3 linked regions of the Tamandua tetradactyla genome follow. The protein of the gene in region 1 purifies or fractionates together with the protein of each later gene. This does not show direct contact. Links are inferred from orthologs where the notes say so. Each region holds a gene or a part of one and is shown in the gene's direction. Other genes may lie near its edges.

Evidence for each region.
Region 2: the proteins of PARP1 (region 1) and XPC purify together in Homo sapiens (affinity purification with mass spectrometry; 4 studies listed by BioGRID and IntAct, counting the BioPlex papers as one, with this or other methods). This does not show direct contact. The link is inferred for Tamandua tetradactyla from reciprocal best matches to the Homo sapiens genes PARP1 and XPC.
Region 3: the proteins of PARP1 (region 1) and TOP2B purify together in Homo sapiens (affinity purification with western blotting; 3 studies listed by BioGRID and IntAct, with this or other methods). This does not show direct contact. The link is inferred for Tamandua tetradactyla from reciprocal best matches to the Homo sapiens genes PARP1 and TOP2B.

The regions. Positions count from the first base shown.
Region 1 is NC_135333.1:20,187,093-20,194,500, forward strand, and holds the start of PARP1 (poly [ADP-ribose] polymerase 1), read left to right. Parts: upstream 1-4,398; 5' UTR 4,399-4,527; coding exon 4,528-4,647; intron 4,648-7,408. UniProt on the Homo sapiens protein: Poly-ADP-ribosyltransferase that mediates poly-ADP-ribosylation of proteins and plays a key role in DNA repair.
Region 2 is NC_135335.1:33,961,034-33,968,276, reverse strand, and holds the start of XPC (DNA repair protein complementing XP-C cells), read left to right. Parts: upstream 1-4,221; 5' UTR 4,222-4,694; coding exon of another isoform or gene 4,695-4,715; 5' UTR 4,716-5,006; coding exon 5,007-5,109; intron 5,110-7,243. Other genes in the region: U6 snRNA-associated Sm-like protein LSm3, read right to left, coding at 2,375-2,485, 4,695-4,715. UniProt on the Homo sapiens protein: Involved in global genome nucleotide excision repair (GG-NER) by acting as damage sensing and DNA-binding factor component of the XPC complex. Has only a low DNA repair activity by itself which is stimulated by RAD23B and RAD23A.
Region 3 is NC_135341.1:62,454,556-62,461,577, forward strand, and holds the start of TOP2B (DNA topoisomerase 2-beta), read left to right. Parts: upstream 1-4,000; 5' UTR 4,001-4,031; coding exon 4,032-4,106; intron 4,107-7,022. UniProt on the Homo sapiens protein: Key decatenating enzyme that alters DNA topology by binding to two double-stranded DNA molecules, generating a double-stranded break in one of the strands, passing the intact strand through the broken strand, and religating the broken strand.

The DNA.
Region 1 (7,408 bases):
GTGCTCAGTAGCCGCATGTAACTAGTGGCTCCTATGTTGGACAACCAAGTCTCAAGCTTTTACAAAAAAAGGATCTATTTGTGTATCCCATGTGAAATACGAAAACTCAATGTAGATAAAACAAAAGTAAATAACATTATCATCCCTACAAGCAAATAAAAACATATAGCACAGCCACATTATGAAATTGCATGCGTTTTTAAAAAGGAATGAAATGTCCTCTACATTCTGACAGTAATAGATAACTCTGGGATATTAAGGAACAAACTTCTTAGAGGGCAATATGTACATAATGTGATCTCAAAGTCTGTATGTGTGTATAATGTTTAGTGAAAGAATCCGACTGGATATAGGACAAATTATAAACACTGATCCCCTCTGGGGTTTGGGGATGGGGAGGGGTTGGGGAAGGAAGGTTTTCACTCTTTATTCTATTTATGCCTGTGCTGTTTGATTTTTTTGGCTTGTTTTCGTTTGTTTGTTTAGTTTTATAAGAGGAAAATCACAATAAGTACCTTTGAGTGCAGTGTCTCGGCCCTGTCTCTGCCTCTCTCTCTCTCTCTCACACACACACACACACACACACACACACACACACACACATCCCTGCACACACACACACCACCAACAACAGGGTTTGAGCTCTGGGATTCTGTGAGGTGCCTTGGGAGGTGCCAAGAGAATGTGATAGTCATGGGCACACATTTCAAGGCTCCTGCTCAGCCCCCACGTCACACCTCATCAGAAACTGGAGTTTCTTTTGAGCTGGACAAAAACTGAGAGCAATAGACTCCTAAGAAATTCAGAAAAAATTCAGGATGGTTGGAAAACAGGGACTTAATAAAACTTTTACCAGCGACCAACTAAATGCCAGGCGTTGAGCTGGCACAAGAAGAAAGGTTGAACCATCCCGCCTTAGTCAAGGAAGGGCTTAACCCTCCTCAGGATCAGACCCCCGCACAACCAGCTCAAGTACTAGGAAGGGGCAAAGCAGCCACGGGGCTCAGCTCTGAGGACAAGAAGGCTGGAGAGCGTGATTTAAGGGGAGGCTCTGGAAACTGAGGGGGAAAAAGGCAGAGGCTCAGCCTCTCATCTTGCCTCTAATACTGAGAGACTTTAACACTGGGAGAGATCATTTAATCTCTCCATATTTCCATTTTCTTATTTGAAAATGAAAACAGTGCGTGAAAAGGATGTAATTTAAAACATAAATGTTGCTAGTGAGCTCAGAGTGCTCTGACTGATTCTGTCCCAAAAGGAAAAAAGAGGGAAAGGGAAAGGGGAGGGGATGGGTGGGAAGGGGAGGTGGAGGGAGGAGAGGATTAGATAAACACTGAAGCAGGCATGTGCACCAATATAATCAAAGCTCCTGTCCCATAGAAGCCTGGAATTGGAAACATAGGACCTAGGTTCAAGTTTGGTTCTTTCATTTTGTAGATTTAATTTGAAGAGTATTCATTCAAATATTAATACTAAATGTGTACTATCAGCAGGAACTAGATGTAGAGGATGTAGAGATCAGCAGGTAGTTTCTGCTCTCATGTGCTCACCGCCTGGCACGCTGCTACAGGTTGGTGGGAGGAACTCCAGAGCAGATGTCCCAACAGCAGCCTTGGCAGGACCAAGGAGGAGGGAGACAGCTCTGCTGGGAGGGGCGGCGGGGTAGATAGTGGCAGGTGAACCAGATCTTGAGAGACAAATCAGAGCTGCCAAGTGAAGGGAAAGGGAACAGGTATTTTATCAAGACAGAAAAAACATGTGCAAAGTTAAGGAGATGTGGAAGAGTTCATGTGAATGGAAAGTAATTTGGTGTGACTGGAGTGCTGAGAGATGAGGGTGGAAAGGATACTGAGGGGAGTTATAAGCTGTTCTGGTTTGCTAGCTGCTGGAATGCAATATACCAGAATCAGAATGGCTTTCAAAAAGGGGAATTTAATAAGTTGCTGGTTTACAGTTCTAAGGCCGAGAAAATGTCCCAATTAAAACAAGTCCATAGAAATGTCCAATCTAAGGTACCCAGGGAAAGATACCTTGGTCAGGAAGGCCAATGAAGTTCAGGGTTTCTTTCTCAAGTGGAAAGGTACATGGCGAGCACAGTCAGAGTTTCTCTCTCATCTGGAATCTTTTTCTCCAAAATGTTTCCTCTTTTATAGGACTCTAGTAAACCAATCAAGACCCACCCAAATGGGTGGAGACATGTCGTCACCTAATCCAGTTTAACAACCACTCTTGACTAAATCACATCATCCGGGGAGATGATCCAATCACAGTTTCAAACATACAGTATTGAACAGGGATTACTCTACTTTGATGAAATGGGATTTTGATTAAAACATGGCTTTTCTAGGGGGCACACATCCTTTCAAACCAGCACATAAGCCATCACAAGGAATTTAGTCTTTTAAGCTTTAGGCCAGGATTGGCAAATTCAAATCGCCTAGGGTACCAGGCTGATAAAGGAAAGAAGGGAAGAAGCCCAGGCGTAAGACACATACTGCTATCCTCTCCACCTGCTTTTGGTTTTCCTACTCTTGATAGAGATATAAGTACCAAAAAAATTTTTAACTTGAGAGGCAGTGTGGTAGTTAGATTCAGTTGTCAACTTGGCCAGGTGAAAGCACCTAGTTCTGTTGCTGTGGACATGAGCCAATTGTAGGTGAATCTCATCTGTTGCTAATTACATCCGCAGTCGGCTAGGAGGCGTGTCTGCTGCAATGAGTGACGTTTAACTTAATTGGCTTGTGCTTAAATGAGAGAACGCAATGTAGCACAGTCTAGCAGCTTGGCATTCCTCATCTCAGCACTTGCAGCTCAGCTCAGGCCCTTGGGGATGGAGAAAGAAATCACCCTGGGCAAAGTTGTTGGAACCCAGGGGCCTGGAGAGAAGACCAGCAGAGACCATCCTGTGCCTTCCACGTAAGAAAGAACCTCAGTGGAAAGTTAGCTGCCTTTCCTCTGAAGAACCAACAAAATAAATCCCCTTTTATTAAAAGCCAATCCGTCTCTGGCGTGTTGCATTCCGGCAGCTAGCAAACTAGAACAGGCAGTAAAGGAGGCAGCAAAGTGTTGGAAAAGTGCACTAGGGCACAGATTCTTAACCTTGTTTGCATGTGTGCACACTCAGGACATTTTGGAGGTCCAGTGAAGGCTACTAACTTCTTCTCAGAATCAACTGTGGGTAGGGAATCACCTTAATGTAATGGTAGCCTCCAGACATACGATCAGGCACGCTATCCCAGGAGTCACAAAACAGAAACCCCACAGTTAAATTAAAATGCTTGAATTACTGTTTATTAAATCAGTTTAAAACAGTTTAAATCAAAGGGGACCAGATGGGGTGCATAACACAGATGAGATTCGGTACAGGCTAGGCAGAAGGACCATACACTTTCTCTTTCCCTCCCTCCCATGTCAGCCTGCCCGGGCTGATGGTGGGGTTCCAATCACCAGAGCTGAGGGTGTCTGGTCACAGGTGTAACACTGCATTTAGCTTGCTGAACAGACATAGGTATTATGTGTATTTCTTGAGCAGAGCTCGTGGGAGCCAGAAAAGGAAGAGAACGCTACTGGGTGACCATTTAGGGACAGCCTTGCTGTCGACCCAGAAGCACAATGCACGTCTTTTTAATTTGGTCGCTAGGTAAAAATATAGTCCTACATTAAATAAGAAGATCTAGAGCTAGCCGGCCTAATAACCACGGCAATAATATTCTGAGCTTAATAATATTTTGATTTATCTCGAACTGTAAAGTGATACGAAGTATTTGTGGTGACTATTGGTGAGTCAAATCACGGATTCTGCTAATATTCCTAGGATTTGTATTCATGCTTCAAAATTCATAGTAGAGGAAACGCTAAGTTTCAGTTAGGACCCTGTTCCAGCGGTCTGCGGACTCCAAGTGAGTCCCACGGGCCAGGGAGGGTCAACCTCGCAGCTCACTGGCCAGCCCTCGGCAGGTGAGCCGCGTTCCCGAGCAGGCGGCTCTCCGAAAAGAGCGGGAACGCAGAAAGATGGCTGGGGAGTTTAAATAGCGGTGCAACAGCAACTACGCCTGCCTAGCAACTAAACGGTTAAAGGGGTAGCAATTTACCCTTCAGAGGGAGACTAAACGGCCGCCAGAGCCCCCAAAGCCCGTAAACCCTTCGCCGAGAAGGGCCCGCCCTCGAGGCCGGCCGCGGGCACACGCGCTGGGGGCGTTCCCGCGGCCAGGCGTCAGCAATCTATCCCGGAGCAGCGCCCTCGGACGCCTGTTGGAGATGGTGGGCGGGCGCGCGGGCGCCGGGGGCGTTCCCGCGGCCAGGCATCAACAATCTATCCCGGAGCGGCGCGCTCGGACGCCAGCAGGGGCTGGTGGGCGGGCGCGCGGGCGCCAAGGGCGGTCCCGTGGCCAGGCGTGAGCAATCTATCCCGGAGCGGCGCATTCCGACGCCTGCAGGAGCTGGGGGGGCTGTCGTCCGCGTGGCGGGCGAGGAGGAGGCCCCTGTGGTCTTGCGGTCCCGAGGCGCTGCGGCGGCCCAGGGAGGAGGATGGCGGAGGCCTCGGACAAGCTTTACCGAGTCGAGTACGCCAAGAGCGGGCGCGCCTCCTGCAAGAAATGCGGCGAAAGTATCCCCAAGGATTCGCTCCGGATGGCCATAATGGTGCAGGTGCGGGAAGGGCCCGGAGGCCTCGGTTGCTCACTGGGTGGCGCGGGCCGCTTTGTGCCGAGCGGGGACCAGGGCTGCCTCAGGCTCCCCGCGCGCGACCTCCGCAGCGGCCCCTGCAGCGGCCCCGCCTTGTGAGATTTAGGGAAGGGCTTGGGGGGGAAGGAGGGCGGGGGCTCTCGGAATGGGCCGGGTGGGCCCGACCGCTTGGACCCCTCCAGCTGGGCCGCGGTCGCCGCTGCAGTCACTGTGCACTCGGTGGCCTGCCCGTGGGCCCCCCCCCCGGAAGGCTCTGCAGAAAAAACTCGGAAAATAGGATCTGTAACTGGTGTTTTTTGCATTTTAAAAAGGAGCAGGGCGGGCCACGGTGGCTCAGTGGCAGGGTTGTCGCCTGCCATGCCGAAGACCCGGATTCGATTCCTGGTGCCTGCCCATGAAAAAAAAAAAAAGATAACAATAAGGAGCAGCTTTAATTCTTTTTTGGGGGTGTTAGAGGAGTTCTTGTTATTTTATCATCACTCTCCTTGGGGGGAAAGGCGTGCAGCATCTTTTGACGCTAGTCTGATTTTGATCTGCCTTGTGCTGGAAGGTTTTTGACCTACATTGGTGGTGACTACTGGCTTGTGGGGATTTTTTTAATAACCTATTTTTTACCTATATTTAAAAACACCCACTCACCCTCAATTTAAAGAAGTTTATGCAAAACTATATAAAAGTCGGTGTCGTTTCTACATAGTGCATTCCCTTTTTGCCTCATTTATGCTTTGAAAAAAGCATTTTCCCCAAACTTCCCAGACTGTCCTTTTGATGCCTTGACAGCCATCTGATTTGAGTCGAGTGGGGCGGGAAATTCCTTCTCTGGGCTTTCTGACAGAGTGGGGAACCCCGTCCCATCCTCCCTGAGACTTCTGAGATGACGATTTGGGGGTGTGCTTTGAGGCAGTGTGTCTGAAGTCTCCTGTTCAGTGGAGGGGCCTTCCTGCCTCCTCCGTCCTGCAGTTTGCTGGTGTCTGTGTGTAATTCTCACCTGCCCAGATCCTCCCCGTCTCCCATATAATGCTGTTTGTTACTCAGCATCAAGGTACCTCTTGATTTTCTCTTTCTATAATGAGACAGGAAAGTGTTCCAAGAATGATCAAATAGCCCTCCCTGAATTTTCTAAAGTGCCGGTACTTAAGATTATCTGGTTATCTTGGTATCCTCAGGGCATACCTAGCTCAGTACCTGGAAGCTGTGCTTTGCATTCAGTACACATTTGTTGAGCACCTATTATACACAGTTTCATTCCAGGCACTGTTTTTGGTACTAGGGACACAGTGCAAACTCTGCCTTTGGGACTTTGCCGTTAGTTAAAGGGAATACAGCTGGTAAATAAGCATTACTGCTGTGCAGGGGTGTATGCCAGCTGATAAAAGCTGGCAACCCCAAGGGGTCCCAACTAATGTGAGCACTTGATTAGGAGTCATTTATTCATGGAAGTGGGGAGTGGTAAAGTGAGGACTGAGAAGAATATGGGCCTATCATTGGAAAACCAGAATTTACCACTAAAGGGCTTTGAACTTTATTGCAAATATATGGGGAGTTTGCTTTTGTGAAGTTCCCTCTCCTACTGCCTGGGTTCTTGGCCAAGGTTCTATGAAATGGTGGGTGGAACTCAAGAAGTCCATGAATTTTTCAGCTCTGTTTTCACTAAACTCTAGATAAAGGTATTCTTTTCTGCAGTTATGAATATAAGCAGCAAAGCAAAGACATATAAATAGTACCAGTGATTTTTGTCACCAGTAGTAATTACAGATATTATCATTTTATAGTTGTTGGAAATCTTCAAAATATCATTTACTCTCATTCCTACTTCAAATTTACTGTAATTATCAGACAGGTACAAGTTTGTTATATAATGCTTTAGAGATCATGTGTTACTGTATCTCCAAAATACTTCTTAAATGATTTGATGATTATCTCAGTATAATTGCTTACCCTTGTGAGCCTCTGCATTATATTTATTGTGCTTTGAAGATGTTACTGCCACAAACGGATGCCCATAGTCTTCGCCAGACAACCAGAGATCCCTGTTGTGAGAAGGACAGAGAGAATATCTGCCTACAGCCAGTGTGTTGGCAGCAAGCCCAAAATGTTGAGGAAGAGGAGGGTTGGCTCTGAAGGAGGGAGTCCTGAAAGGCTTCTCTGAGGAAGGTAACTTGAGTTACCTGTTTCAGTTAAGCTGTAACATTCTGGGCCCTCATTCCAGATATTTATAAGGTGAAAGAAATTCCCTCTTATAAGTAAATGTAGGGGGCGGGCCACATTGGCTCAGCAGGCAGAGTTCTCGCCTGCCATGCTAGAGATCCGTGTTTGATTCCCCGTGCCAGCCCATGCAAAAAAACAAATAAATAAATAGATGTAGGGCGGTGCACCGGTGGGCTCAATGACAGAATTCTTACCTGCTGTGGAGTTGGATTCCCAGAGCCTGCCCGTGCTAAAAGAAAATAGAAGTGAATGTAGTTTTTCTGTAAAGGTATTTGGAGGTGGGTAGAGATGTTTCCTTTGTGGATTTGCTTCTTAATTCAGAATTTAAAGTTAGTCTTTCTGCTGGCTAAGCTGGTTAAAAGCCAGAAAGAAAGAAGTCATTCTTCTCTGTGCTTGCATATAAATACCTTCTCTTACATTTGTATGGGAGGATTGTTGGCTGCTTATCAAATATCTGATACTTTGTTGCCTGAAGGAAGGGAACTGGGTCTTCCAGCCTGGTGACCTTGGGGGACTG
Region 2 (7,243 bases), on another chromosome or scaffold:
AGTTAAATGGAGCAATCCCCAAGCTTATCCAGAACTTAATTGTGTTTGGGATCTGCAGGCTCAATCAATAAATGCTGCAACTGAGATATTCAGGGATGTACTCAATCCATTCAAAAGTTAGCATTTTACTAAAAGATGACCCTTCTGGGGCTTTATGTGGAACCCACTTACCCTTATTTCTACCAAAGTGCAAAGTGGTTCACCAGCTAACATAAAAAGAAAAGTAGCAAATAAGTCACACGGGGAATATACCAGAGACGACACACTAACGAGATAAAAAAAACCCTAAAATTTGTTTTTGTTTATATGTTATTGTTCACAGAAAAAAAAAAAAGAAGGAAAAAAGTCAATTGTGATGATAAAAAAGTATATAAGCCTTTTGCCTCCTATATTCTGGAGCAACTAGGAGGAAAAATATAAGAGGATTGTATGGTAACCCATGACAAACTCTGGGATCTGTCTTGTAGCCACTTGTCGAGGAGTACTTTGAAAACTATTGTTTTATTTCTTTGCTCTGTATATATGTTATATTATACAATTAAAAAAATTTAAAAACAAAACAACCAAACCTAAAACTGACAACAATAAAAAGACAACCCAATTAAGAAATGGGCAAAGAACTTTGGAGAAAGGTTTACTTTTTGTTTTTTAACCATAAACTGTGATTGATATGTTCAAAATATAGAGGAAGAGGGGAGTAACATGAAAACAAAGGTGAAGTAATTTTACAAAAGTATTGGAGTCTACAAAAAATCATATTGAAATTCTAGAGCTGAAATATAAAATACCTGTAATTAAGAATTTAACATAAGGGAATAACAAATCAGTCATAACCAAGGATAATATAAATAACCCAGATAATCGCTCCCTGCTGCTTGGATTTTGGAGAAAGGTATTTCTCCAAAGACGATAAACAAATGGCAGATAAACACATGAAAAAATGCTCAACATTATTAGCCCCTAGGGAATGTGAATAAAAATCACAATGAGATATCACTTCACACTCACTAAAAATGGCTTTTAAAAAAAAACAGCAAATAAAAAGTACTGGCCGGGAGGACGTAGAGAAATATGGACCCCAGAACACTGTAGGTGGTAATGTAAAATGGTGTAGTCTTTTCATAGAGACAGAAAATAGAGCACAGGATGCCAGGGGTTGAGGAGGAAAGGCAAACGGGGAATTAAAGTACAACGGGTGCAGGGTTTCTGTTTGGGGAGATGGAAAAGTTTTGGTAATAGGTGTCTATGAATGTCTGTGTTCATATTTTGACTCTCCCTTTGTAGGCTTTGCCACCTTAAGCAAGTAACTCCACCTTTCTCTGAGCCTGAGCTCCCCCAACCATAAAATGGGACAGATACTACCCTCAGAGGACTGTTATAAAGATGATATATATATATATATGTACTTTATATAGTACACATAAAGCATTCAGAATAATAGTGCCTGGCATGCTCAATAAATATTAGCCTTTTTTTTTTTGGCATGGGCAGGCTCTGGGAATCAAACCTGGGTCTCCGACACGGCAGGAGAGAATTCTGTCATTGAGCCACGACTGCATCACCCAGTGTTAGCCATTTTTAATCACCACAGGGTAGAATGGAAGTAGTAAAAAATACATATTTTAGAATAAAAGGGACCAATCCTATAGGAATAGTTGTATATATGCGCACAGAAATATGTATAAAAATGCTTACTGCAGCATGATATACAACGGCAAAAAATGGAAAACGACCTATAGATCACTACTGTATACAGAATCCTATGTAGTCATTAAAAAGAATAAAAGAGATTTGTATGCACTCATGATCAAGGAATTCCAAGAAAGATTAAGGTGACAAAAATATTTATAGCGGGATCCCATTTATTTTTTTAAGGATGGGATATATAGTGCAAAATAAATGTATCTGGACACACACACATGAATATATATGTGTAACTATTCAAAAAAATATCTGAAAGAATACAGATCCAATTTTTAGCAGTGGTTACCAATAGAGGAAAATAGGATTTCATCTGTTACACTATATATATCTGTGTTGTCTAATTTTTTTTACAAAACACATTTATGCAGCAGTAATTTTTTAAAAATTAAATAAGAATGGAGGACAAATGTAATTTACAAATAATCACAAGGAAAAAATGAAGGGAGTGAAAACATTTCATAATAAACACATTTCTGTAAAGAGAAAAAAGTGTTAACATATATAAAATAGTTATATTTGGCTTGTAGAAATATGGGTGACTTTCTAACTCCCCCTCTTCCATGTTTCAAAATATTCTTGCACATTGGATACTTTCTACATTTCAAGGGGGTGGGGAAAGGGAGGGATGATACAGAAGTAGTCTAATTTCAAGATAATTTAATAAACTTACATGTAATCTGCCTCGAAGCTCTCGGTCGTTTCTCATTTTCACGTAAATTCGCTCATCCAGGCTGAGCCTGATGAGATCCAGGGGCTCCTCTACGGTGTTGGTAGTTTGTTGCTGATTGAGGAAACAGTAGCATAATACTAGGAATAGTGTAATGTTCCAATCACTGCTCTGCTATGTGACCATGGGCAAGTTACTTAGTCTCTGTATGCCTCAATCTCCTAATTTGTAAAACGGGGATTAACAGTACCTATTCATACTGTTGTTGCGAGGCTTAAATGACCTATATGAAGGCTCAGAACAGTGCCTGGCACATAAGTGCTATATAAATGAGAGAAAACATATACACAAAGAAAGGAGTTACACAGCAAAATAATCATGGCTATACCAAAGTCAGTGAGACCTTGTTCCCTCAAAATAATAAACTGCCTGACCCAATTTCAGGGTAAACGGAGCCACTTTCTGAGACTTTAGCCTTATCTCAAATATCATTTAATCATTTGTAAAACATTCACTTAGTGCCTACCACAAACCAGTCAGGATGCTAGGGAGGGATGTTCGTTAAAGTCTGAGGGAAGATTATGAATCCACCACAAGGAAGATTGAGTTCAAGGTGCCAAATGGACAGTAAGATGAAAATAGGTAGTAGAAAGTATAGACTACTGGTTAAAAGCACTGGATTTGGAGCAAGGCAGTCTGGGTTCAAATCCCAGCTTTGACCTGTACAAACTGAGATAACAAATCTAATTTTTTGCTTCCTTATCTGTAAAATGAGGATGCCACAACCTTTCCTTAAGGTTTCTTGAGAAGATTAAATGAGCCAATATATTTAAAGTAAAACCTGGCAAACAGAAAGCACTTAAAATAGTTATATTAATAATTAATATTATACATATACAAATATTAAATATTAATACAAATATTAAATACAAATATTAAATAACTGTTGGTAACATAGGTCTGAAGTTTCAGAGATGTCAGGGCTAGGATCACCTCGGGGCCATCCATATGGAAGGGAGGATTAAAGCCATGAAACTTGATAAGATTGTCCAAGGAAAGAGTTTTCAGTGAGAACAATCATGACTCCAGCACAGGCTCTACCTGTCCTTCAGATCAATGAGAAAAAAAAAGTCCTGACCTCAACTGGTGACTCTCTCACTATTCCAGTTCAACAAGTGTTCGTTAAAGAGCTGGACAAGCTACAATTTCATAGAATATAAGGCACCTGTCCTTAAGGAGTTCAGCCCAATTAGGAGAGAGGCATATAAATAAACAATTATAGTTCTATAAGAATATACACATGACAGAATCCTGCTGCTACTTTAGACTCAGTCTGAGATGCCCATTCTCTACCCTTTTCAACCTATAACCTTAAATGTTGCCTTTCCAAAGAGGTCTCCTGATCATCCAATACATTCATTCATAAATATATGGTGTTTCCAGCACTGTTATAAACCCTGATGGTAGAACAGTAAGCAAAACAAAATTCCTGCTCTCGCAGGGAAGACAGCTGTTATACAAAGTAGCACATACTTAAAATGAAAAAAATAAAATAAAATAAATAAAGAATGACATACTATGACGAAATTAAACAAGGTAAGCAGACTGGGGTGGTGGTGGTACTATTTGATGTAGGTGGCCAGGGAAATCCTCTTTGATGAGGTGAGATTTGAGTGGAAAAACTGAATAAGTTGTGGCCCGACATTCATCAGAAAGAGTATTTGGGGAAGAAGAGCAGGCGAAAAACCCTGTAAGGTCTCCGTACCCGGTCCCTTGTCTGTTTCCTTCATACCACGTCACAATTCCTATGTATCTCACACGTGTATGCCTTGCCCCAATAGAATATAAGCTCCACGTGGTAATGGGATTATGTCTGTCCCTGGTGCCTAGAGTAATGTCTAGTCACCGACAGCTGATACACACTACGTATTGGTTGAATGAGTGGATAATTATTATACTACGCTGAGTAATAACGTCACTAACTCAATTTTTTTGCCACACTTTCTATCAGAATCCTGACAGCTCCACGAGGCAGACACGGAAAATTATTCTCATTATCTACAGACAAGAGAAGGGAAGTGATGAGAGTCAGGAATCGCTGTTAGGCGCGCGGGCTTTGAACAGGACAGAACTGAGGGCCTGAAGCAAAACTGGAAGGGGATGCGGTTACAAGGGGAAGGAGACAGATTAAGCCTTAGTGGGCCAGAAAGAGGTGGTTCGTAAGGACACTTTCCCGTGAGCTTAGAGAAGGCAGCCCTGGCAAGTCGAGAAGGGCCAGGACTGGGAGCGCGGGGGAAGCCGCTTTAGACCAAAACGCACTCACCTGATCCACGTCGTCCGCCATGTTTCAAACCCTGCGCCCTTTCTCTCCTATCGCGAGATCATACGTGCCTTCCCACGCCTCCGGAAACGTGAGAACGCAAAAGCACCGGAAGTAGAAAGTATCTGTTTGGTTCCGTCTCTCTGCCTACGCAATTTACACTGGCTGCCGGGGCCGAGGCGGACCTTCCTCTGAGGGTGTGGCTTGGCCGTGGTGGAGGGGCGTGACTATGCCTTGCCCCACTGGGGCGGCTCGCGTGCCGCGACCGCTTACCGCGGTGTGGTGCGTCACTCGCAAGGCGAATCTCTCTCGGCCATGGGACGGAAAGGCGCTGGCTCTCCGGAGCCGCAGCGACGCGAGCTGCGCGGCCGGAAGGCTAAAGGCAAGAACCAGGCCCGGAGCGAGAGGAAGGAGGCAGGTGAGAGAGCGAGGGGACAGATACTGAGGGGGCTGAGAGGCAGGCCCGCAGTGCAGGAGCCGGGGTGGGGGAGGATGCTGTTCAATGCCCAGACGGAGGCAGGCGGAGCCTTGCCGGGCCGCTATGTCGCTGCCGGCCCCTCACCGTCCGGCATCCCTGCACGCCTTTGTCCCTCACGCGAGGAAGGATGCGGCCAGAGCAACTTCTTTGGAGTCCCATCTGACCACGAGCTCCCCAGCGTAGTCTCATTCCTGCTTAGCAGTGCCCACAGGGTAAAGTCCAGCCTCCTCTCCTTTGCTAAGGGCTGAATGAGGAAAAGGCATTGCAGTTATTTTATGAGCCCCCAGGAGACGGACCGCGATGTGGAGTGGTGTGGTGTGCTAACTCCCAGAGTAGCATCTTCAGCTAAATCTCACCCAGGTAGTTCCAACACGATTTTTTCAAGTGGATATTGTCTGATGTTTAACATAGACAAAGCAACGCTCTTGATTTTCCCCCTTTAAAACCTCTGACCTTTCCCCAGTTTTTGCCATCTCAATAAATGACCCCTTTACTGTCTTGGTAAAGCAAACCGTTCTTTTTCTTACATGCACAAGTCCTGTCAGTTCAACCTCAGAAATTTATCTCGTCTGTCCTTTTAATTTTGTTGGCACAGTTCTTGTGCAGGCCACTATCGACTTGCAGGTGCGTGGCTGCTGTTACCTCTTCACTGGTCTTTCTGCTTCCCTGCAGTGGGTTCTGCACCCAGCTGCCAAAATGATCCTTAAAAGAAATCCACACGTTTCCTGTTCCTACATCAAAACCTCTATGGCTTCCCATTGCTCTTGGCATAAAATTTAAATTTCTTAGCACAGCCTACAAGACCCTACATGATTTGGGTGCTGCTTCCTCTCTTTTCTCCTTGCCAGGGATTCTCTTTATTTATTGGCCAACTTGCTGTTCCTCTAACATGCTAAGACATTTCTAATCTTAAGCCTTTGTTATTCCTTCTGCCTAGAATGTACTTCCATGGCCCTTGTGGCTGATTTCTTGTTTTCCTTCAGGTCTCAACTCATTCTTCTATTCCTTCAGGTCTCAACTCAGAGTCACTCCTTGAGTTTCAGATCTAAGGTAGCCTTCCACAGGTATTCTCCTTCTTTGTACCCTGATTATTGCTCCCACAGCCCTTGTCACGATCTGTTAGGGTCTTATTAATTTATTTGCTTCCTTTTTGACCACCCATCTTACTAGAATTTAAGCTCTTTGAAAGCAGAAATGTCTTGTATTTTGCTGTGTCCATTTTGTCCTCCCTCCCTCCACACACACACATAGTAAGTACTCAATAAATATTTTAAATCTTTGCAAAATGCATGCTGCTTTAGGATTTCTAGAGTTCCTGAATGAAATAACTGGATAGAAGATTAAAGTAGGTAACCAACAAGGGCTCCTACGATACTAGATTCTTTGATTCTGTACATGTTATAAGCTAATTGTCCCTTAGAAAATATTCAAATGGTAATAGTTTCTTAGCTCAGAAGGTGATTTATATTATGCTTAATTAATACTATGAGTTCCATTTTATTCATTCAGGCACTCATTTATTCATTCAGATAGCATTTTTTGAATGCCAGTATATGAATTAGGTGACATAGAAGATGGAGATTTCATGGAAGAGCTTAGAGTATAATACTGTTGATATGACATTTGTACATAAAATATCCAAGGCAGAGTCCGTTAAAGGTCATGAAGAAGGTACAGAAGACTGGCTTCTGAAAGATTGATCAAGTTCGACTGGAGAGATTGAGAAATGCTCTCTGAAGGGGTTATGTTAGAGCTACAACTTTAAGAATGGATAATAGTTTAGCAAGCAGCCATGAAAGGTGGGGAGTTGGGGCATTCTAGACAGAGGGAATGTGTTCAGAGTATGTTACAATTCAGAAAGTAAAGATTTTAATCTGATGGTAATGCTACCTTCCTGGGTAGCATTCTCAGCTCAGCATTTCAGCTGTGCATCACTTAGACTTTGGTAAATTTACATGCACTTTGGTAAATTATTTTTGGACAAATAACCTTTCTAAACCTCATCTGTGAAATGTAGTACTACCCTGCAAGGTAACTGTGAGTTTTCAGTGAGATAGCATATAAGGCTTATGGC
Region 3 (7,022 bases), on another chromosome or scaffold:
AAAGGCATATGGTCATTTTATTCTCCCCATTATATAACCCAGTAAATCAGTTCAGAACTCTGAATATTATTGCTAATCTATATCATGTAAAATAAGTGAAAATGTTTCAAAGTCCATACAAATAACTAGAGTTGTTACCAGAGGATCAGTATAGCTTACTTGGCCGAAACTAATCAAAACAAATTCCTGGAAACCAAAGAAGTCAAGCAAAACAAACAGCCCACAGGTATTGTAGGTAAAAAATGAAAAGCGTTAGCCTTTGTCCATCTTCCCAATGGTGGGAATACTGAGGAGTGGGGCTACCACTGATGTCTTCAGCCATCCACACAGGCTTGTTATTTTTGGTGTTAAGTACCTTTTAAAAGTAAAACTATGGTAGTGCAATGGTGGCTCAGTGGCAGAGTTCTTACCTGTCACTATCTGGACAACATTTATTGAATTTTCTTGTAGGACAGTTGTGAATTTCTCTTCTTATTCTAAGCATAGCAACTTTGTATATATTTAGGACCAATGAATACTAACACAATGAGAGAAAGAGCGAGTTAAAATTGCAGACATTGAATTTTGGATTAAAATATTAACTTTAAATGTTCGATGGGTTAAAGATTAGGGTCCCCCACCCCTGACGCCAGCTAAATCTTAGTGTTGGAACAATACATGGTTTCAGTGGAAACTTTACGGGAACTTTGCCAGATACCTAGAAGTATAGTTATTTTCTCAGATAACTTATTTGTTGATTGTCACCTACTGCATTTAAAGTGCAATGAATGACAGATGTGAGTCCTATCAGGTGAACTGCTTATTAAATAGCAAATAATTGAACATAAAATTGCTTTTGGAACTGAAAGACTAGCTAAAAAATATATAAGGTATGTAGCCAAGGCAGAGATTACATCTTTATCACCTTTTTGACTCTCCAGGTCCTAAGTACCTAACACACAGTAAACATTTAATGAATATCTTTGTTACATTAGGTAAACGTAAGGTCTAAAAATAAAAATTCTGAAGGAGTTAGGATTAGCTTGATTAAAGGCCTTTAATTTTATAGTTTATGGAATGGACTGATTTCTACAATTTTTCATTTTGACAGGTGCTTTTCTATGGGGTAAAAATAGGTCTATAAAAACATATAATAATGTATATGAATACTATTATATTAGCATATGGTGTGTGTGTGTGTGTGTGTGTGTATGTATATATATACTAAGATAAATATGATAGTAACCCAAACAATACAAACCTGACATTGAAGCTTGTAGCAATTATTGCTACAGTTGCTACAATTACTTTGTAAATGAAAATTACTTCACAATACCCCAGAAGGTAAAGCTGTGCTCAAGTGAGCTACAATCCATTTTATCATAAAAGTCGTGGTAAGTCTACCTCACATAGTTAAAAAGATCAACAGTTCTTTAGGTGCTGAGATACATTTGTTGCAGATACTTTCCCCCATTAATCGTGTTATTTTTGCTTTAAAATATTGAGTTGCATGTATTCAACAATTCTTTTGTTTGTGATCCAATTAAGTAAGTCTGTATTTTCCACAACAATAAAACTAGTAACACTTACCAGATGGTTTCTTGATATTTAGGGATACTGTAATGCCTCACCTATGATGCAAATGAAAAAAATGAACATTATTTTCATCAACTAGCCTATCTGATTTTTGAATATATTTTCTCTTCAAACTCTGAAGCTCAAGAGCTTTGAAATCTGAAGTTTCAAAAAGGTTTCTACTTAATTGCATATATTGTTAGAAAAAACTTACACCTTTTAACATTATCCACCCATTTTAAAAATTATGTTATACGTGTACTTTGGCGATGTAAAGTTACAGTAAGTATGAGAGTAAAAATACTCATTTTAACGAGGAGTAAACCAAGCCCCCAGGGAAGTTAAATAAACCCATGGTTATTTAGCTGCTCAAGTTCAGGGCCCAGATTAGACTCTGGTCTGTCTGAATTTCAAGCTTGCACCAAGTTCAAGGTAAAGAAAGGCGTTAGTGTCTGAATCAAAGTCACAATGTACCAAAATTACTTGGCCACCAGAGAGCTAATTAAGAAGAAATACGTTTAAATTGTTTCCATGTTTCAGAGTTCCCTACCTCTGGACTCAGAAGGAAGTCGAAAGATGTGACCCCAGACATTTTTGTTTTCCCCTGAGAGGAAATGCACATTTGGAAGAGACGTTCATAAGAAACACCTTTCCACAAAACATACTGTATTTCTCTTCTTAAGAAGTGCTTGTCACAACTTTTTGGTGCCACTTCATGCCCTCAAGTACACATCTTATATATTACCTTAAGACAGTTAACTCCTTTCAAGTATCTCTCCAGCCAGATCATAAATGACTTGAAATGGGGGGCTGTGTTTTTATTTTGATCCCATAGCAGAGCCTGGCCCAGGATTTCAGAGGATGTGCCCAATAAATACTTACTGAATGGAATTACACTGAAAAGAAGATGAAGCAGAGCCATCTTCCATCTGCCAAGGACTCTGCTGCAGCTGTATGGGTCACTCACTCTTAGAAAGCTTTAAAGTGAATGGAATTATTCCTCAGCATGTATTTTAAAATTCTACTGGAAAGGAGCTTAAAAAATTAAGCGTGCCCTCCTAGAGGTCTCTGGGACAGCTCAGAGTAGCTATGAAAGAAAAGTGACAGTGACATCTCTGTCGTGTTTAGAGGACAGAGCTCAACAAAGAGTTGAAACAGAAGACATACCCCACCTGCATTCTTTCCCTGGAATGTTCTCAGTGAGTTCCTACTCATTTAAGTTTTTTAAGTGCAGTTTTCTTGCGACTAACGGGGTCCTCTTTTAGACGCGAGGAGGGACAGGGCCTGAGCAGAGGTTTTTTTGTTTGTCTGTTTGTTTTGACAGCGTCCATTTGGGGCCTTGGAGAGGCCAGGGTCACGGGGCCCTCCTTGCACCAGTGGTCTATAACGTTCTTGCCAGCGGTTTAAAACCGCTGTCTAAAAATACTTTCCCTTTGGGACAGCCCTCGCCTCCTTCCTGCTCCCTTCCCTCCACTCCCCACCCCCGCCCCCAGCCACCCCTGGCAAAAAAAAAACGCCTTGGTTTCGCAGGCGACTCAGAGTAAATAGCACGCTCGGCTGAATACAATTGACCCGAGTACAATTCGACCCTTTCCCTTTGCTGCCCTCAAATGACCCTTGACAGCAGCCCTTGCTCCCCCTAAAATGGAAAACCCACAGACACACACACAAACAAAAAACCCCAATTCTTCCACTCGGTTGCTACCCGCAATGACGTTTCCCCCTCGGGTCCCGCCCCGCCGGGGGCTTGGAATTTTGGGATTGGCCGAGAGGCTGTGGCGACAAGGCCCTGATTGGGTGACCAGGTGCTGACTGACAGCGGGGGCGGCCGCCGCGCCCTCCCTCCCTCCCTCCCGGGTGTGCGAATGTGTGTGTGCGCGGTGCTATGCCGGACAAGAGGGAGGCGACCGTGACGGCGGCGGCGGCTCTGTTTATTGTCCCTTTTGGCGTGTGGATGTGAGGAAGTCGGGGCTGCAGCGCGGCCGACAAAGGCCATCTTCGAGGCAGAGGCGGTGGCGACTGCGGCGACCCGAGCGGCCAGTCTTCGCGGATTGTGAGGAAGGACAAGGCACCTCGGTGTCCTCGCCACGTCCGAACGCCCCAGGCTTGCCGGCTATCCTCGCTGCTCGCCCCCGGGAGCCTCCGACCCGCTTGCTGCGGCGCCCGCGAGCAGGCGAGGAGGCAGCGCCGCTGCTCAGCCACCGCCGGCCTCCCCCTCCTTCTTCCTCCTCAGCAGCGGCGCTAGGCCCGGGCGACGCGGCCACCGCGACTCGAGTTTGAGGGCGCCGGGCGGCGCGGCCTCTTTGGCGGGCTCGGCCCGGCGTCTGCCCCGGGTCTCGGCGATGGGGCGCTGGGGCCGGCGCCGCTAGGAGCGCGGCGAGTCGAGTGGCCGGTGCGGAGCAGCGGGGTCCGGCGGACCTCAGGAAGGCGGCAGCGGCGGCCGCGTCCTCGGGGCCTGTGAGCAGGAGGCACCCGCCATGGCCAAGTCGGGAGGCGGTGGCGCGGGAGCCGGCGCAGGCGGCGGTGGCGGCAATGGGGCGCTGACCTGGGTGGTGAGTGACGGGCGACTGGGGGCCAGGGTCCGGGCCGCCGCATTGTTCGCGGGCGGCGGCGGGGGTGGAATTCCGTGGGACTGGCGGGGCGCGGTGTGGGGGAGGGGGAAGAGGGAAATCCCGTCTCCCAAACCCGCGTCCAGTCGGGCTTCTGCCGGCAGAACCCCCGCCCCTTTTCTTTCTTTTCTTTTCCTCTATGGAGGCTCTGGCTGCAGGAGCGTAAGGTGCCGTAGAAACTTTGGGGGACAAGCCATGAACATGTCATAGAATCCCCACTTCCTCTTTTTTCCTCTCCCCCAGACTCTTCCAGAGCAGTCGGGCGTGAGATGAAGTGGATGGGGAAAATGCCTCTGTGTCTGTGTGGGTCAGCACTTTCTCCAAATGTGACTTAAAATCCCAGGGAAAGGGGTGTGTGCGCGCGCACGCCTTCTAAATGCAACCATTTCTGATGCTCTCAGCAGAAGAATGGATTTGGCGGGGAAGACGTCCAAGAGCAGTTTACACTTCCATTCGAAAAGTGTCATTCGAATGAGAGTGCATTGGGGATGGCTGTTTCACAGTAGTTAATATACCGTAGATCATCCCTCTGTCAGGACGGGATTATCAAAAGAAGCGTTTACCTACGTCAGCATCTCAGGTGAAACCGGGTGGGGGCTGAAGGGAGTGTGCTGGAGAGGAGACGAAGTGCCAAGTCCTGGAGGCGCTCAGCCCTGCTGGGAGATAGAAGTGGCTCAAGGAAGACCTGGAGGAACCTAACTCCCACGGCAGATCGATAATTCATTGGCATCTCGATAATTCATTGGCATCTCGATAATTCATTGGCATCTCGGCTTGGAGTTCAGACCAGGGTCATTTCCTATACACACACACACTCACAAAACCCCAGCTCAGCCGACAGATTAGATACCCAGGGGGGGAAAAAAAGCGTTACATTTTTCAAGGACTTTGATATCTCCTCCCACCTCTTTTTTTTTTTTTTTTTTTAAATCGCTCTTGCTTTTCTCTTTGCTTGGGTGAGGTTTAGGGGAATTGGATAGGGATTATGCTGCATCTACAAGCATCCGTTCTGGTAAAAACAAAACAGAAAAACGAACGTGTTGATAGCAGAAAAATATGTGTGCCAAGGCGCCTTGCAAAATAACTGCTAGGCTTTTAATTAAATCTCTGCGAATTTTGTTAATGATAGTACTCCAGTAATGCAGTACGAATGGACTAGAGCCTGGAAAGATAAGTAGTTAATAAATTAGTAGTCCATGTGTACATGCAAGGGGTAAGGGTGGGGACAATGCATAAATTAGAACGAAAGATTTTTTAGATTAGTGGCACCTTACCCTTGTTACTAAAATCAAATGACATTTGAAAATGCTATTAGATCACCAGCTGATATTGTGAGTTCTTATTCATTATTTGGAAATGTTAATACATCATTGGTGTTTCCATTGAGGAACTTTGATTCTATATTGATAAACAGTTTACTCTAAAATTAAATTTGTTTCTTTTAACATTTCATAGCAACGTTTTAATTTACTGTTATTTAACTTTGTAGATAATTACATGACCATATTTTTTTTTGAGCTCTGTAGGAAACTTTTCTTTCATTTCCATAAGAAATTTAGCAAAAGTTGGAGGGTTTCATTCAATGTTAGAAAAATACATTTGAAACTAAAATGGACTTATTGATAGAATAAATCGGTACATGCTTTTTTTTTTAATCTTGGTATTTGTGTCTTTCATTAAATAAACTATCTTGAAAAATTAGTTTAAATCAGGATATTAATCTTTTATATGGACAGATCAGTAGTTGGCAAAGTATTTATTTTTCCATCTATTTGGGAGTATCTGTTACCATTGGCTACCTGTAAGTAAAAATGAGTGTCAGAATTTGTGTTAAAACTAATGGTTGCTATTCATATGCCTTTGCAGTCTACTGTAGTTATCTTTAAATTCTTTGTATATTGAATTTATAATTTGGTTGGATCTCTTGAGAGATAGAGAAGTGTGTTTTATATGGTTTAGTTGATGGTAATTATAATGAAGTGTTAACAGACTATTTCATATTGCCTTTGATTATAATTCCGTAATTTTCAGTGGTAAAACTAGAACTTGAGATGCATTTTTCATTTTCCATGATTAAGATTGGTTGCTGGCAGAAATTACTTAAGATGTATCACTTGCAAATCTTATTTTCTATTGAACTTTAAAAATCTTGTTTTCAAATAATCTACTGAATAACTTTTATTTCTTAGAGGACCAGAAAGCATTTTTCTCATGTAATCAGGCTTTGCAAAAAGACCCAAATTATAGTAGAAAACTCAAGGACTGTGGTGGAAATGAAAAAAACAATTCTGGAAGTTAAGTATACAGGTCTAGTTGAGCAGATTAAAACATGGAATTTTGGATATGCTAAACAATCTGGCAAGGGAAGGAGAATATGATTTTGATCTAATGAAGACTTTTAGCTCTAAGTCTCCTCCATATGTTTTTGAAATTATAAAAGATTACTAAAAGTTTAGACATTTCAGACTTTAGTCATCTTTAAAACTTGGGAGGTAAATTTTGGCTTTATTCATAATGGTATGTCGTCATTATAAAACTGGTTATAGGGGACATGGGAAGTATAGTAAAGGAAGGGAGAAAACATCATATTTTATTGAAAAATTGTATTCTTTTATGCATTAGAAGTTTATTAAAAAGATGATTTCACCTTACAAGTCCATGTTAAGATTTGATGCTCACTTTTAGTACTGAATCAGTTTATGTGAGCATCTTTTTGTCCATAATATGTATAAATGACTGTAAGCTGGTTTAATTTTATGGGAGATAATACAGTGAAGTGGTTATCAGTGTGGGCTTTTATGTCAGAGTGATGTGGATTTAGATGCTGTCTCCCAACACATATAGTCAGTGAGATTTTTG